Linked DNA regions of Nothobranchius furzeri. The protein of the gene in region 2 purifies or fractionates together with the protein of the main gene of each other region. This does not show direct contact. Links are inferred from orthologs where the notes say so. Each region holds a gene or a part of one and is shown on either strand. Other genes may lie near its edges.

Region 1 (6,299 bases), on a different chromosome or scaffold from region 2:
GAAGAAGGATGAATCGAGCTGCTCGAGCGAAGAGGAGGAGGAAGAGGATTCAGAGTCTGAGACGGAAGCTGGTGCTCCTTTTTTCTTTTCTCACCACAGAGCTTCAGTAAAAACCATAGAAAACCGTTTGGGACCTTTTCTTAACCCTCTAATTGTTTTAAACCCTCCAGAAAAAAGCAAACCGGCCCCAGCGGTGAGCAGCAGCTCGACACCCACCCCCACCACCGTCAGCGTCACCGTTTCATCTCCAACTAGCCCTACTAACCAGGTGACAACTCCTACTTCACCGGTTAAAAAGGTACAACTAACCGAACGACCGTTTTAGTTTTCTTTGGACAGAATTTATGTAAATTTAGTCTTAAAAGACCTTCCTGAACATTCAAAAGTGCAGCAAAACCTCGGTGTGACTCGCTACGTTGAGTTCAAACTGTCCTTCGTGTCTTTTGAACTTGATCTACTCCTGGAAAGCGGCACAATTTCTCTTGCTGACTGGGTTTGCATCACTTAAATTCTAACCCACATTGATTTCAGCAGATTTTTTTTTACTTCTCTCTAAAAGACGATGGAAATAAAGTTGTGGAGTTCTAGATTAGGATGAATATTTAGGTATTGGGAGCGCATAGCTTTCTTTTGGGGCTTTGCTGCCCTCTGGTGGCAAGCTGAAGCAAAAGCCATTAAACCACAGTGAGAATGGGGCCTCTCTTTAAGAGAAAGCTCTTTTTATTTTGTTCCGCTGGCTGCAAATATTAGCTAATATGTGTGACTAATGCAAACAACCTGAAAATGTTTTGGAAAGTCATAAACGTCTAGTTTATAAAAGCAGAATGCTCTGGCTAGTTTAGCTCTGGCAGCTTTAACGGGTCCTTTACTCTTTTTGATGATGCTTTTTTTCCTGCAACAAAGCGTATTTAAAGCCAGGTGCTCACAATCCACATCTCTGAATAGAAGTGAGCGTAACAAACAGATGTGTTCCAGCGGCGGCCCTGGTTTGGTCCCTTGTGGCGTGACCTGGCTTTGAATTTCCTGTCCTTGCACACAAAGTCTGTTTCTTTTGCTTCTGCTTCTGTCTTATTCTGTCTTTTTTTTTTTTTTTTGTCATCCTTTGTCTTCCTCCCTCTCCGTGTTTTTTACTTTTTCATCCCGGGCGCTTGTCTTGGTTGGCTTTAGTTTGATTATATTACTCCTCTCATGCCTTTGGCGGAGCCAGGCTGTCCTTCGCTGTGGCGTCAAGGTTTGCGCAAAACTGGCATTTCTCTTGTGCCCAAAAAGCTGATGGTGAGGCTCTGGTGTGCACCAGCGTTGTTGTCTCGTCCTACATGCACTCATGCTCTCACAAAGCACTAAAACGTCTCCTAACCACGCCCACCTGGTCCAGGTGATGTAGGGTTTTTTCCACTCGATGGGGTCGGCCTGCCTTTAGAGCGTTGCGCAGCACTGAACTCTGGCGTCCTGCTTCAGAAGCAGGACTGCTTTAGCCGAGGCTGAACACTCAGAAATCAGCTCGAATCTGCATTATTTCTATTTTTCTACAAGATTTTTTTTAAATGAAATGAATAGCATCTCGTTCTCTGAACCTTAATGAAAAGGTGGAGCTGCATTTAGTCAGTTATTGTGAGACCACCCTAGTGGAAAAGTCCCAACAACCGACCCGCCCTTCACTCACAAACATCACATGGTGCTGTTTTCACTTTTCAATGCACTGCTAATATTTTCGTGTGTGTGTGTGTGTGTGTTTCTACAGTTTAAATTGTCCCTGTGAATCATGGTGGTGGTGATGAGTCTGGTCTTAAGGCTGAACGATCTGTTGTTTTCTGATTGAAATTACGATTTCAAACGATCAGATCAGAGTTTTTCAGCACTCCCGACAGACCCAGGATCTGTTAGGTTAACTGTTTTACACACCCAGGGTTTTCCCTCGGTCGCAGCGAGAGCCGACGAGGTGTTGTGTGTTGTGAGAGCCTGCCGCAGCAGCACATGGGTACATTTGGATGTTGTTCCTGTGTTTTTCCTTTTCGTGGCGCTGCTGCAAACAACAACAATCATTGCTGTGATCATCTTGTGGACCCAATCTGCTCCTGACTCCGTCTCTTGTTCGTGTGTGTGTGTGTGTGTGTGTGTGTGTAGGGATGCACCGATAAGATACTGGTACCTGTATCGGCACCGATACTGATACCAATACCAGTATCGGTGAAAGTTAACAGATACCAGTGCAGTTGCTTGAAAATGGCTTCACTGTAACTTGTCGTTTCTGTTCACCTAATATTTTAGTTTTGTGATGATTTCCATTCATATATTTTACTTTTTGTCTACCTCTGTCTTTTCCTGTTGAAAGCAGAGAAGAAAATTAAATCTGTATTCCAAATCATTGCATTTTTTTGTGTGGTAGAAGTATCGATATTGGTAATCGGTATCGGCGAGTACTCAGATCCAAGTATCTGTATCGTATCAGTCTGGAAAAAAGTGGTATCGTTGCATCCGTGTGTCCGTGTGTGTGTGTGTGTGTGTGTGTGCGTGCGTGCGTGCGTGCGTGAGGGAGGGAGGGAGGGAGGGAGGGAGGGACAAAAAGGATGAATCACCAGCATCCTCAAACAGCAGAAAAGCGTTTACCATGATGACATCAAGCGGACTTTAAAGCACAACTTCTTCTTTTTCAAAACCCATCTGATCCTGCCTGATGGCTCAAACTGTTGCAGAGTTAAAGAAAATCAAAGTTGGCATTAAAATATGTCGGCACCTTTAGCTTTCGCCCTTGCTTTAGTGATTGAACCTGTCATTTTTGATGGTATGATGTCATTTCCTGTATTGAATGTAAACACGGTGAACAATAGGCTAGAGCTTTGTTTTAAGGAAATCGTGAACCAAACTGAAAAAGCAATTTCTGCCAGAAAAGTCCCAGTTCGTAAAATCGTTCAGCCCTAGGGGTCGCATGAGTTCAAGCCCCGACTGAGTGAACTGCTGATCATAACCGTGTAATACTTTCCCCTCAACTGCAGCTCCTTTTAAATTAACCTGACAGCGTCTGACCTGATTGGTGGTTGTGTTTCTTAACAAGATGACTAAAATTCTCACAATCGAATAGTGAGTGAGTTTTCATCATTGCTGCCCCTATGCTCCATCCCAGGTCCCCCAGCCTGCTGGAAAGGTTTCAACAAAAGTGGAGGAGGAGAAGAAGGACGAGTCTCCGGCCTCGTGGCGTTTGGGTTTGAGAAAGACGGGCAGCTACGGGGCGCTCTCCGAGATCACGGCCACTAAGGACACCCAGAGGGAGAAGGAAACCACGGGTGTGATGCGCTCAGCGTCGAGCCCTCGGCTCACCATATCCCTGGACAACAAAGAGAAAGAGAAGGTCAGCTGTTACAGTCAGGTGGGACATCGACACAATGCTAACATTTTTGGCTCTATACACCACCACAATGGATATCAAATGAAACGAACAAGATGTGCTTTAACTGCAGACGGTCAGCTTTTATTTGAGGGTATTTACATCCAAGTCAGGTGAACGGTGTAGGAATTACAACAGTTAGCATAAGTGCCTCCCACGTGTTAAGAGACCAAAAGTAATGGGACAGAAGAAGAACGCTAGCTAGCACATGTCCTAATTGATGATATCTCCACCATTTTTCAAGATAAAACGATGAGACTCTAGACCCTTAGAAAGTATGATCGGTAAGCCCTATCTACCAAATTTTGTTTGGATTCACCAATAGGGGGCGCTAAAGAGTCAAACAGTTTCAAAACGGCTCGATGGATTTCCACAGAACTTGGCAGATACGTTTATCATTGGACCCTTACGCTATATTTCGAAAATGATTAAAAAGTGGGCGTGGCTTATAGGCTATAAATAGGCTTTACAAGTTTTCGCCCTTTTACTCATGAAAAATATATATTCTGTACAGAAAGTTACAAATCAAATCAGTCATAGTGACATCTACAATCACAGAAAAAAAATTGAATTTTGTCCAGTAGATGGCGCTGTTGTACCCCAAAAATGTTTATGGCATGTTTCTCCCCATTACTTTCGTAAAAAAACAAATGGTCTCATCCAGTATGTTCATTGAGTCAGTCAAATTTAGATGAGTATTTTAAAAAATGTTTTAAACTTATGCAAATTAGTAGAAATTTGCATAGTAAGTCAAACGTACTTTCGTTAACTCCTCCCGGCCGTCAAACACAATCAAATCAAAACATGGCCTGACGAGAGAGGAGGAGCGGCTGAGCAAACGATGAGAGCGGATTTTGGAGAATTCGCCTATTTTTCGAAATATGACTTTTTAAAATATTTTTTTGGAATGAAAAAGTTTTTTTAGCATAACTTCAAAAGATTTTGACATTTTTCACAGCTGTTCATAACATTCATACCTAAGGTCAATTCAAGTGCATGTCTTGATTTTCAACTTGATTCAACAATAGGGGGCGCTATAAATAGGAAGAAATTATACTGCTGAACCGGCTAAATGGATCTGCATGAAACTTAGTGGTTGTCATCATTAGAGTCTTACGACTACTTTATCAATATTGTAATGATTGATAAAAGTAGGCGTGGTTTATGATAATTTAAAATTTCACATTTGAAAAATTTTCTAAAAATAATTATTTGCATGTAAGAGGCTAAAATTTTCAGGTTGCGTTAACTGGGTAGCCTTGAGCTTATGTCACGAAAATCGCAGCTCCACGAAGAGGTTTGCGCTTTATATTTACGAAAATACATTTTTAGGCTAGCAGTTGTAGCGCAAATTCTGTTATGACAATCTTCTAGAAATTTGGCACAAAGTTCACTCTTTGGTGGTTTATGAAACACGTAAAATGTTGTCTTGATTTGAGCACCCCCTTGTGTTTAATTATAGGACTTATTTTTGGTGACTGCCACTAATGCAAATATTATTTTATTGTAAGAAAAGTTTAACATTTATGATCCCTACAAAAGTATAAACAGAATTTCCACATGACAGAGGCAATCTGGGAATATTTTGAGATTTCTGTACAAAAGCATAGATTTTTTAAGAATTTTAACTTTTTGCCAGTTTTTCTGTATAGTTGGACAAAAAAGTAAATAATTTACGTTAGAAAGTTTTTTTAGGTATACAGTAAATATGAATCATTTATAACATTCCACATGCACCTATGGTGATCTGAGATTTTTCTACTATTTTTAGAAAGTAGCACTATTTTTTATGAATGTTTTAATTTTGGCTGTGACCCTTATTTATATTTAACAATTTTTCTTCATAAATGGTTTGAGTCTACTGATTTAAAAACAATATCATATTATTCCGCATGTTAACATTGCCATGTGAGAATATTTAGGTAATTTTATGATGATATATGTATTTTTCAGGATTTTTTAAACATTTGATCAGCAAGTCAAAAAATGAAAATCATAGTTTTTGTTGAAAATCTTATAGATCTAGAGACATTATCAAGTATTTGTTATTTGTAATATTCTGTTGACGTATAGATTATTGTTTGATAATCTTTAGATCAAATATGGATTTTATAATTAAGTTTTTGTTTCGGTCAGTTTAATTGTACATCTCAATATAATTGTTTTTTGAAAAAGCATTTCATTTACAATCAATAAAATGACAAAACCTGATTTCTCATCACTTCACTCATTAAATCTTCACGTTCTTTAAAAAGGAAACGGTGGAATTTCATTATAATCACGACTGAGAAGTCAGCCATGCCTGTGAAAGATTTGTGTATAGGCTGTGCAAGAGGTTTCATGACAAATCCTGAGTGTTCCTTTCACTGCGCCGGCTGAAGTGAGCTGACGGGGCGCCGGCGGGAGAACGTGTTTTTGGAGCGGGACCGCGTGAGGAATGGCGAAGGTGAGGGCGGGGCTGGGTGGGGGGCTGGCGCTGGTTGGCTTGGAACCCGTAGATAACTGCTTGCAGTTCTAGTTCAGCTTGAGAATGCACCTGTTTTTAGTAGCTTCTATGTCAGTTTGATATGTTTGTTTTTACCATGTTTTTACTTTGTGATGAACTTTTGATCTTATTTTTAGAATTTTTAGGGAACTTCTGTTCTTTTTGGCTTGTTAAGCACTTTGGTCAGCTTTTATGCTGTTGTTAAGTGCTTTTTAAATAAAGTTGACTTGACTTGACTAGAGCCCTGGCAGAGCATCACCAGGAATGAAACCCAACGTCTGGTGATGTCTGTGTTCCAGACTTCAGGTTGTAATTGACTGCAAAGGATTTGCAACCAAGCATTGAAATGTATAAGTTTGATTTATGGTTCTTATTCTGTCCCATTACTTTTGGTCCCTGAACAAGTGGGAGGCACAAATGCAAACTGTTGTA
Region 2 (6,855 bases):
TTGAAATTTGAAAGGACCTGAAAGGTTTTCAATGCATTTGGCAATTAAAGACACACTATGTAACTTTTTATATTTTCAGATCATTTTCTTGAGCCAGTCTGAGCTAAAATAACCCTTTACAAGACCCCCCACCACCACCACCACCACCACACACACACACACACACACACTTTTTCCAAAGTCAGTTTTGTCTCCTGCACTTTTTAACCGTCCAAAAACAATATTACGCTATATTAAATAGACATTGGTTGCACTAGGACCAAGTGGAAAACAACGTCTTGTGTTGAAGCCTGTTTCCCTTTAGAACTGTCCATAAACTCATCTATTGGCTCTGCAGATACTTGCTAAATTTTGATTGGCCGTTCCTGCCACCTGGGTACTTGACAGTTCTGCATTTCTGACATTGCATAAAAGAGCCTCTAGGCTGTAGTTTTACACATATTTTTTGTGTACTTACTGTAAAGATCCCCCCCGGTCCTCATGCCGGTTGCGCCCCCCCCCCCCCCCCCCCACCCAAGTCAAAAATGTGTCTGTGGTTATGCCCCTTTTGCAGCCTTGATGCGCACTTCACTTAATTGGTATTACCCACAATCCATTGCTGTGGGAGAAAAGACCCAAGAGCCTCTTTTGAAAATATGTATTTTCAAATGAATGTCGTTCATTGACAATTAACTGATGCTATGAATGTTTTAGACAAAGCAGGAGTGAATGTAAATGTATTTCAAATAATTGTTAGGTTTGTATGAAAGTTTATATGAAGTTTTTTTAAATTAGCACAGCGCAATATGAGTATTGGGATTGCGTCTTGGCAGAAAAAATTGGAGCCAACATATCTGGCACTGCAGTCTGGTTCCAGCATGTTTCCTGCATGTTTTAAATCTTGAACACAGCTGATTTGTTTAATTTAGTGATGAACCACCTCTGTAGACACTGATGAAAGCTGGGGAGACATTTCAGCTGTTAGATTAAGGTGTTAAAAAGACTAACTAAAAGCAAGGATTTAGGTTTTGCTTTCGGTTCTAATGGGGGGGGGGGGGGGGGGGGGGCTAAAAAGCAAGCCATGACTGCCTAGCCTCCCTTTAAATACAGAATAAATTTTATCACTTGAAATTTATAATTGTCAGAATTACAAAAGGTCACAGCAGGAAAGAGGAAAAACAAGCACAATGTTTTGATTTGAAATTTGTTGAAATTGTAGAACCAGTAGTGACCCGATTCCAAACAACGTACAGATGCAGAAAAATAAAAATATACTGAAACTTAGAATGAAGAGAAACAGGAAAATAATTATTTTCAGCATTCAGTCTAAATATGACAAATAGCAAACAGGCTAATATTAGTAAATGTGTTATGAATTAGAAAATCTGCGCATTTGAACAATTAACACATCTGCACTGAACTCATGCTGCTGCTAAATAATTCACAAAAAAGTCAGTTGCTATCAGCAGAAATCTGCGTTAAAAGGTTTCCTCTTTGTGAGTTTAGTTCTTTGTTTTCCAGGATTTTACAGTGTCCTGCATGAGTTACCAATCACTGCTTTATAGTGCTCATATGCAAGACTCGTCTCTGAAACGGGTCTGATCGCATGCTGTGACTGAGCACTTTGCCTGTCTGAGACTCAGCCGTCAAAAACCTTTTCTGAGATGTGGATCCTCTACCAGATAATAAATAACCATGGTGGTATGAGTAATACTATTGATCCTGGTTAAATCAGGCTCCCTTTCTGTTTCGGCCATCTAACATTTCATTAAATGTAGTAATGCAGTAAACATACGTAAACAAAGTCTCTGTCCGATGGGTTAGGGGGTCAATCGGGAATGATGTGTGAAAGAGCTTTTTAAAGCATCCTATCAGAAGGAGACTGTCTGACATCCATTAACCTGGTCTGAGCTGTTTTTCATGCTTCGTTTATTTTATGTACTATGAAATAGAATAGGATGAATAGAAGATGAAACACTGAAAATGCTTTAACTGATTATATTATAAATGAGTTGTTTTGTCTTGGTTTCATTGAACAGGTCTAAATCAGATCAATTAACCCAAATTCAAACATAAGGTGGCTTTTGCTGACCTCTAGTGGCTGAATCTGGACATATTCATATAGGATGACTAGCTACATAAACTAATACACACAACACATTCATTTTGCTATACTAAATGTTCATTAATACACAATGTCCCTCTTAAGCTGTTAAAAATGAAAATAAAGAAGAAAAATGCAAAAATTAAAGTTCCATTTCTGATTTGTACATCATTCTCAAGTTACTACAAAATAAAACGATTAATTTGTTTCCTAACCAGAATGGACACTTAGGGGCATACACATTTCTTCTAAATGCTTTCTCACCTATGTTGTGTTTCATCTGCACTCACAGCAGACTTGTAGTACAAACTGTCATTGTTGTTAGAAGAAAAAGATTACTATCTTGACACACTTTGACAAAGGTGCATTTGAAACGTGTTCAATTAAATGTGAAACTTCGTTGATTTGTCTGCCCCAAACCTTTTTCAGGAAGTACAAGGATAAGTAACATATTCAGCTCAGATCTTACTGGTTGAAGTGAGATGTGCGCTCCCGCGAAAAACAATGTCTCCGGCGCGCGACCTGAAACTCCTCCTCTGTCTGGCAGGGGGCGGGGCTTCCCTCAGTCTCCGCCCGCACGCAGAGTACCTGCAGCCCGGCTCCTCTTGCTGGCCTTAATCTTCATGTCCTCCTCACAATTTAGTCGTAGCAAGTCACTTTAATCAGGCCGGGCTGGGCGGACTCTGTCGTGATAAATGACACCCAACCGAACCTGGCGATTTTAAAATAATCAAGGTAGCTCCGGACTCAGGAATGTTGTTTACAAGCGACACCTGCTGCGACCAAAAGCACAACGAAAGTAGAGACAGTAGCGCTGTCTGCGTCGGCATGGACGGCTGGAGTCTCCCGTCTGCCGGAGGAGTTTCAGACCCTCCTTGTGGGGGATCTCCGTCCCAGGTGCCCTTGAGGAAGCATGCGGTGAAGAGGCACCACCACAAACACAACCTGAAGCACAGGTACGAGTTTCTGGAGACTCTGGGGAAAGGAACCTACGGCAAGGTGAAGAAGGCCAGGGAGAGATCCGGGAGGCTGGTAAGATACAGCTGATATTATTATTATTATTATTATTATTATTAGAAGTAGTAGTATTTCATCGTGACGACAGGTCAGCAGTCCGTTTCACGCGAGTGTTTGTGCCGCCGCTCCTCCTTGCCACCTGTTGTTTAGACCTGCGGGATTATTTTTAGTCCATCAGGTCTGTTGCCTTTTTAATCTGCGGTTTCACTTCAGTGAGAGTCATCACGTGTCGCTGGAATGTAAAAAAGATCTAAAAACAGGCTTTCTGATACGCAAGTTTATTTTAACATCATGCGTTGATAGCCCAGTCCTTTTTAATCACTAGACGCACTGAATAGCATCACATCTAAAATAATCTGAGCATTGTATTCCCACCACCTTTATCAGAGTTAAGATAAGAAGTCAAAGGAGGTTCCAATAAATGTCTTCTAGTTGTGCGATAATAGCACAAATGAGCTCCTGTGCCTGAGGAAAAATATGTGAAACTTATCAGAAAGTTGTGTTGGAATAACTGAAACTGATTTCTTCTGGGGGAAGTTCAAACCAGGAAATGTAGTCATTTTCTTTCAAAGTTTCAGAAACAAAAGTGGGAATTAAGGCTGGCCTTCCGGGTGAATTCCTGTTCCCTTTGACCCAAGGGGGAATGTGAAGCATTCATAGTAGAAAAATGTCTGAGATAAGCCCCTAAAAGGCACATAAAGGAGGTTAGACAACTTAAGACATGTGTTTTTGAAGATTATGTCCCTAAACATTGTCTGACCTTCAAGTATTTAAAAAATGTGTTTGAAGTTACACTCTTAACGCTTAGACTGGGTTGAAGATTAGAAATATTTCAGCAGAATTTACAACAATTTTAAAGAAATTAAAACTACGATTTAAAAGTGACTTTAAAATCACCTTCAATAAACTAAACCCCTCAAACTTGCCTTTTACATTTTGTGCACATTTCAAGAAATTTCACACAATTTATAATTTGCATTTAAAATTTTCCAACAGTGTGATAATAAAAAAAAATAACCCAAAGGAAACTAAAAGTACAGGCAAAGCAGAAACAAAGTCGCTCAGAGTTAAACCAGGTCAGTTACTAAAAATAAAACCCAAGTAGTTTTGTGTTGCTTATCAGATGTTTATGCTGTTTAAAAGATAAACGTCTGACGTGAGCGAAAGTGCTTCAACTCAAGGAAGTGAGTGAATTATCAGGAATTTCCCTGCCAGCATTGGCCGAAAACATGCAGGGGTACGAGTCCAGTCTTGTCCACACACCCTTCAGAGGAAACAACTGTCTGGGATTTAGATTTGGTTTCACCCTAAACTAATATCATTTATCAGAGAAATCAGCCTCTGCAGTGAGATAATCTGTAATCCGACTCAACACAGAAGTGCGCTCCATCCTGCATTATTCTCCACAGCTATTGTCTGAGTTCATATGTTTGATTGCATAACCCATTTAGGTTGGGGGCTATGCATGCATCCATGAGGGTGTTGATCCGCCACTCACTGCATAACAGTAACGCTGTTTGTGCATTCATGCACCCCCAATTAGCTACAGTCCGTCCATCCATCTTCTGAACCCGCTTTGTCCACATGGGGTCGCCGGGGGGGGGGCTATCTCCAGCAGTCGACAGGCAATCAGGCGGGGTACACCCTGGACAGAGAGCCAGTCCATCGCAGGGCAACACAGAGACACACAGGACAAACAATCATGCACGCACACACTCACACCCAAGGACAGTTCAGACAGACCAATCAACCTAACAGTCATGTTTTTGGTCTGTGGGAGGAAGCCGGAGTACCCGGAGAGAACCCACGCATGCACAGGGAGAACATGCAAACTCCATGCAGAAAGTTCCCAGGCCGGGAAGCGAACCCAAGACCAGCTCTAACCACTGCGCCACTGCGCAGCCCAATTAACTACAGTGAGGAACAAAAGTCTTTGAACACCCTGCGAATTTGCAAGTTCTCCCACAAAATCATGGAGGGGTCTGAAATTCACATTGTAAGTGCATCCCCACTGGGAGAGACAGCTTTTAAAAAAATCGGGAAATGACATTGGGTGATTTTTAAATCATGTATTTGTATTGCACTGCTGCACATAAGTATTTGAACACCTGGGAATCATCAATAATTCTGGCTCTCAAAGACCTGTCACTCTGCCTTTTAAAGAGTCCACCTCTACTCCACTTATTCGTCTAAGTTAGTAGCACCTGTCTGAGCTCCACCCCACTTGTCCACCCCACAGTCAGTCACACTCCAACTACTACCATGGCCAAGACCACAGAGCTGTAAAAAGACACCAGAGACAAACTTGTGGACCTTCACCAGGCTGAAAAGGAGTGCTGGGCAATTGAAACTAGATCAACTGTTGGAGCGATTGCTAGAAAATGGAATAGGCTAAAGACGACTGTCAGTCTTCCTCGGATGGGGGGCCCATGCAAGATCTCACCTGGTAGGGTATCTTTGATAAGAACGGTGAGGAGTCAGCTCAGAACTACACAGGAGGAGCTGGTCCATGACATGAAGAGAGCTGGGTCCACAGTTTCAAAGTTCACTGTTGGTAGAACACAACACCATCATGCATTACACGGGAGGTTTCCCTGCTCAAGTCATCACATGTCCAGGCCCGTCTGAAGTTTGCCAATGACCCTCTGGATGATTCAGAGGAGGCATGGGAGAAAGTCATGTGGTTCAGTGAGACCAAAATAGAACTTTTTGGTCTAAACTCAACTCTCCGTGTTTAGAGGAAAAAGAAGGATGTGTTGCGTCACAAGAACCCTACAGTGAAGCATGAGGGTGGAAAAATCATGCTTTGGGGGTGCCTTTCTGCCAAGAGAATGGGATGACTGCACTGCATTAAGCTGGGATCACACTGTGCGTATTTCAGCCATCACACAGGACTGCTCATGTCCCACTGTGAGAACTCCAGAAAGGTAGCAAGCACACTGTACGGCGCAAGATTTCTGTTAGCCAGAGCACACAGCGTCTCGTTCCAGCACGACACGCTACGTCATGAGCGCGCCCCGATAGCATATGTCACTAAGACTGCTAACCAAAACAAAGCGGAAAAGATTTTTTAAAAGGCCGTCGTCAACACTTCTTTTTAGAGTCAGCTCATCTACCTCAAAGACGAAGGATCATTTTTAAAACCTTTGCTTTGGCCTCAGACTCCGTCTGCAAGTCTCCTTTTCCCGTCTTCCAGCTAAACAGCAGAGCTGTCTGCTGGACATGCGCCACTTCTCATCCCCTAAAACCCACTAAACTACAGAGAAGTAACAATCCATCACACATCGCCCCAATATCTAAACTTCTGCTGTGAATTTACTCCTCATGCAGCTCCACTCCATGACAGCTCATCACACCTGGTGCTGCCACTCGGCAACAAAACGCTACTGAAAAATCCTTATCGGTTGAATGTGTGAGATTTCCACCATCAGCAAAGGGATCGCGTGTTTTTGTGTTTTACTTTTTATGCTGGTGAAGGTTCTCAGTCATCCAGGTCACGGTAATCCAAAGGGTTCAAATGAAGGCAACTGGACTTCTTCTTTTGGTTTCTTGAAAACGTTTCGGTTTTCACAAGTTATCTGATGGTCTAAAAAAGGTAGTTTCATTATTTTAAGCATAACTCTGGTTTACCTTGAGCAATTAACAAAAATGAAAATCTTTGTGTAGTTAATAATCTGCATTTTAAGCATAAATTGAAACCGAAGCTCAGAGAGGCAAAATCTTGCTGCTGCGGCGTCCCAAAGGTGTGTTTTCAT

The links.
Region 1: the proteins of nuak2 (region 2) and ppp1r12a purify together in Homo sapiens (affinity purification with mass spectrometry; 3 studies listed by BioGRID and IntAct, counting the BioPlex papers as one, with this or other methods). This does not show direct contact. The link is inferred for Nothobranchius furzeri from reciprocal best matches to the Homo sapiens genes NUAK2 and PPP1R12A.

What each region holds. Positions count from the first base shown.
Region 1 is NC_091741.1:40,774,331-40,780,629, reverse strand, and holds part of ppp1r12a (protein phosphatase 1 regulatory subunit 12A), read left to right. Parts: coding exon 1-71; intron 72-170; coding exon 171-268; coding exon of another isoform or gene 269-298; intron 299-1,167; coding exon 1,168-1,275; intron 1,276-3,121; coding exon 3,122-3,346; intron 3,347-6,299. UniProt on the Homo sapiens protein: Key regulator of protein phosphatase 1C (PPP1C). Mediates binding to myosin. As part of the PPP1C complex, involved in dephosphorylation of PLK1. Capable of inhibiting HIF1AN-dependent suppression of HIF1A activity.
Region 2 is NC_091743.1:46,618,416-46,625,270, forward strand, and holds the start of nuak2 (NUAK family SNF1-like kinase 2), read left to right. Parts: upstream 1-2,708; 5' UTR 2,709-2,836; coding exon 2,837-3,115; intron 3,116-6,855. UniProt on the Homo sapiens protein: Stress-activated kinase involved in tolerance to glucose starvation. Induces cell-cell detachment by increasing F-actin conversion to G-actin. Expression is induced by CD95 or TNF-alpha, via NF-kappa-B.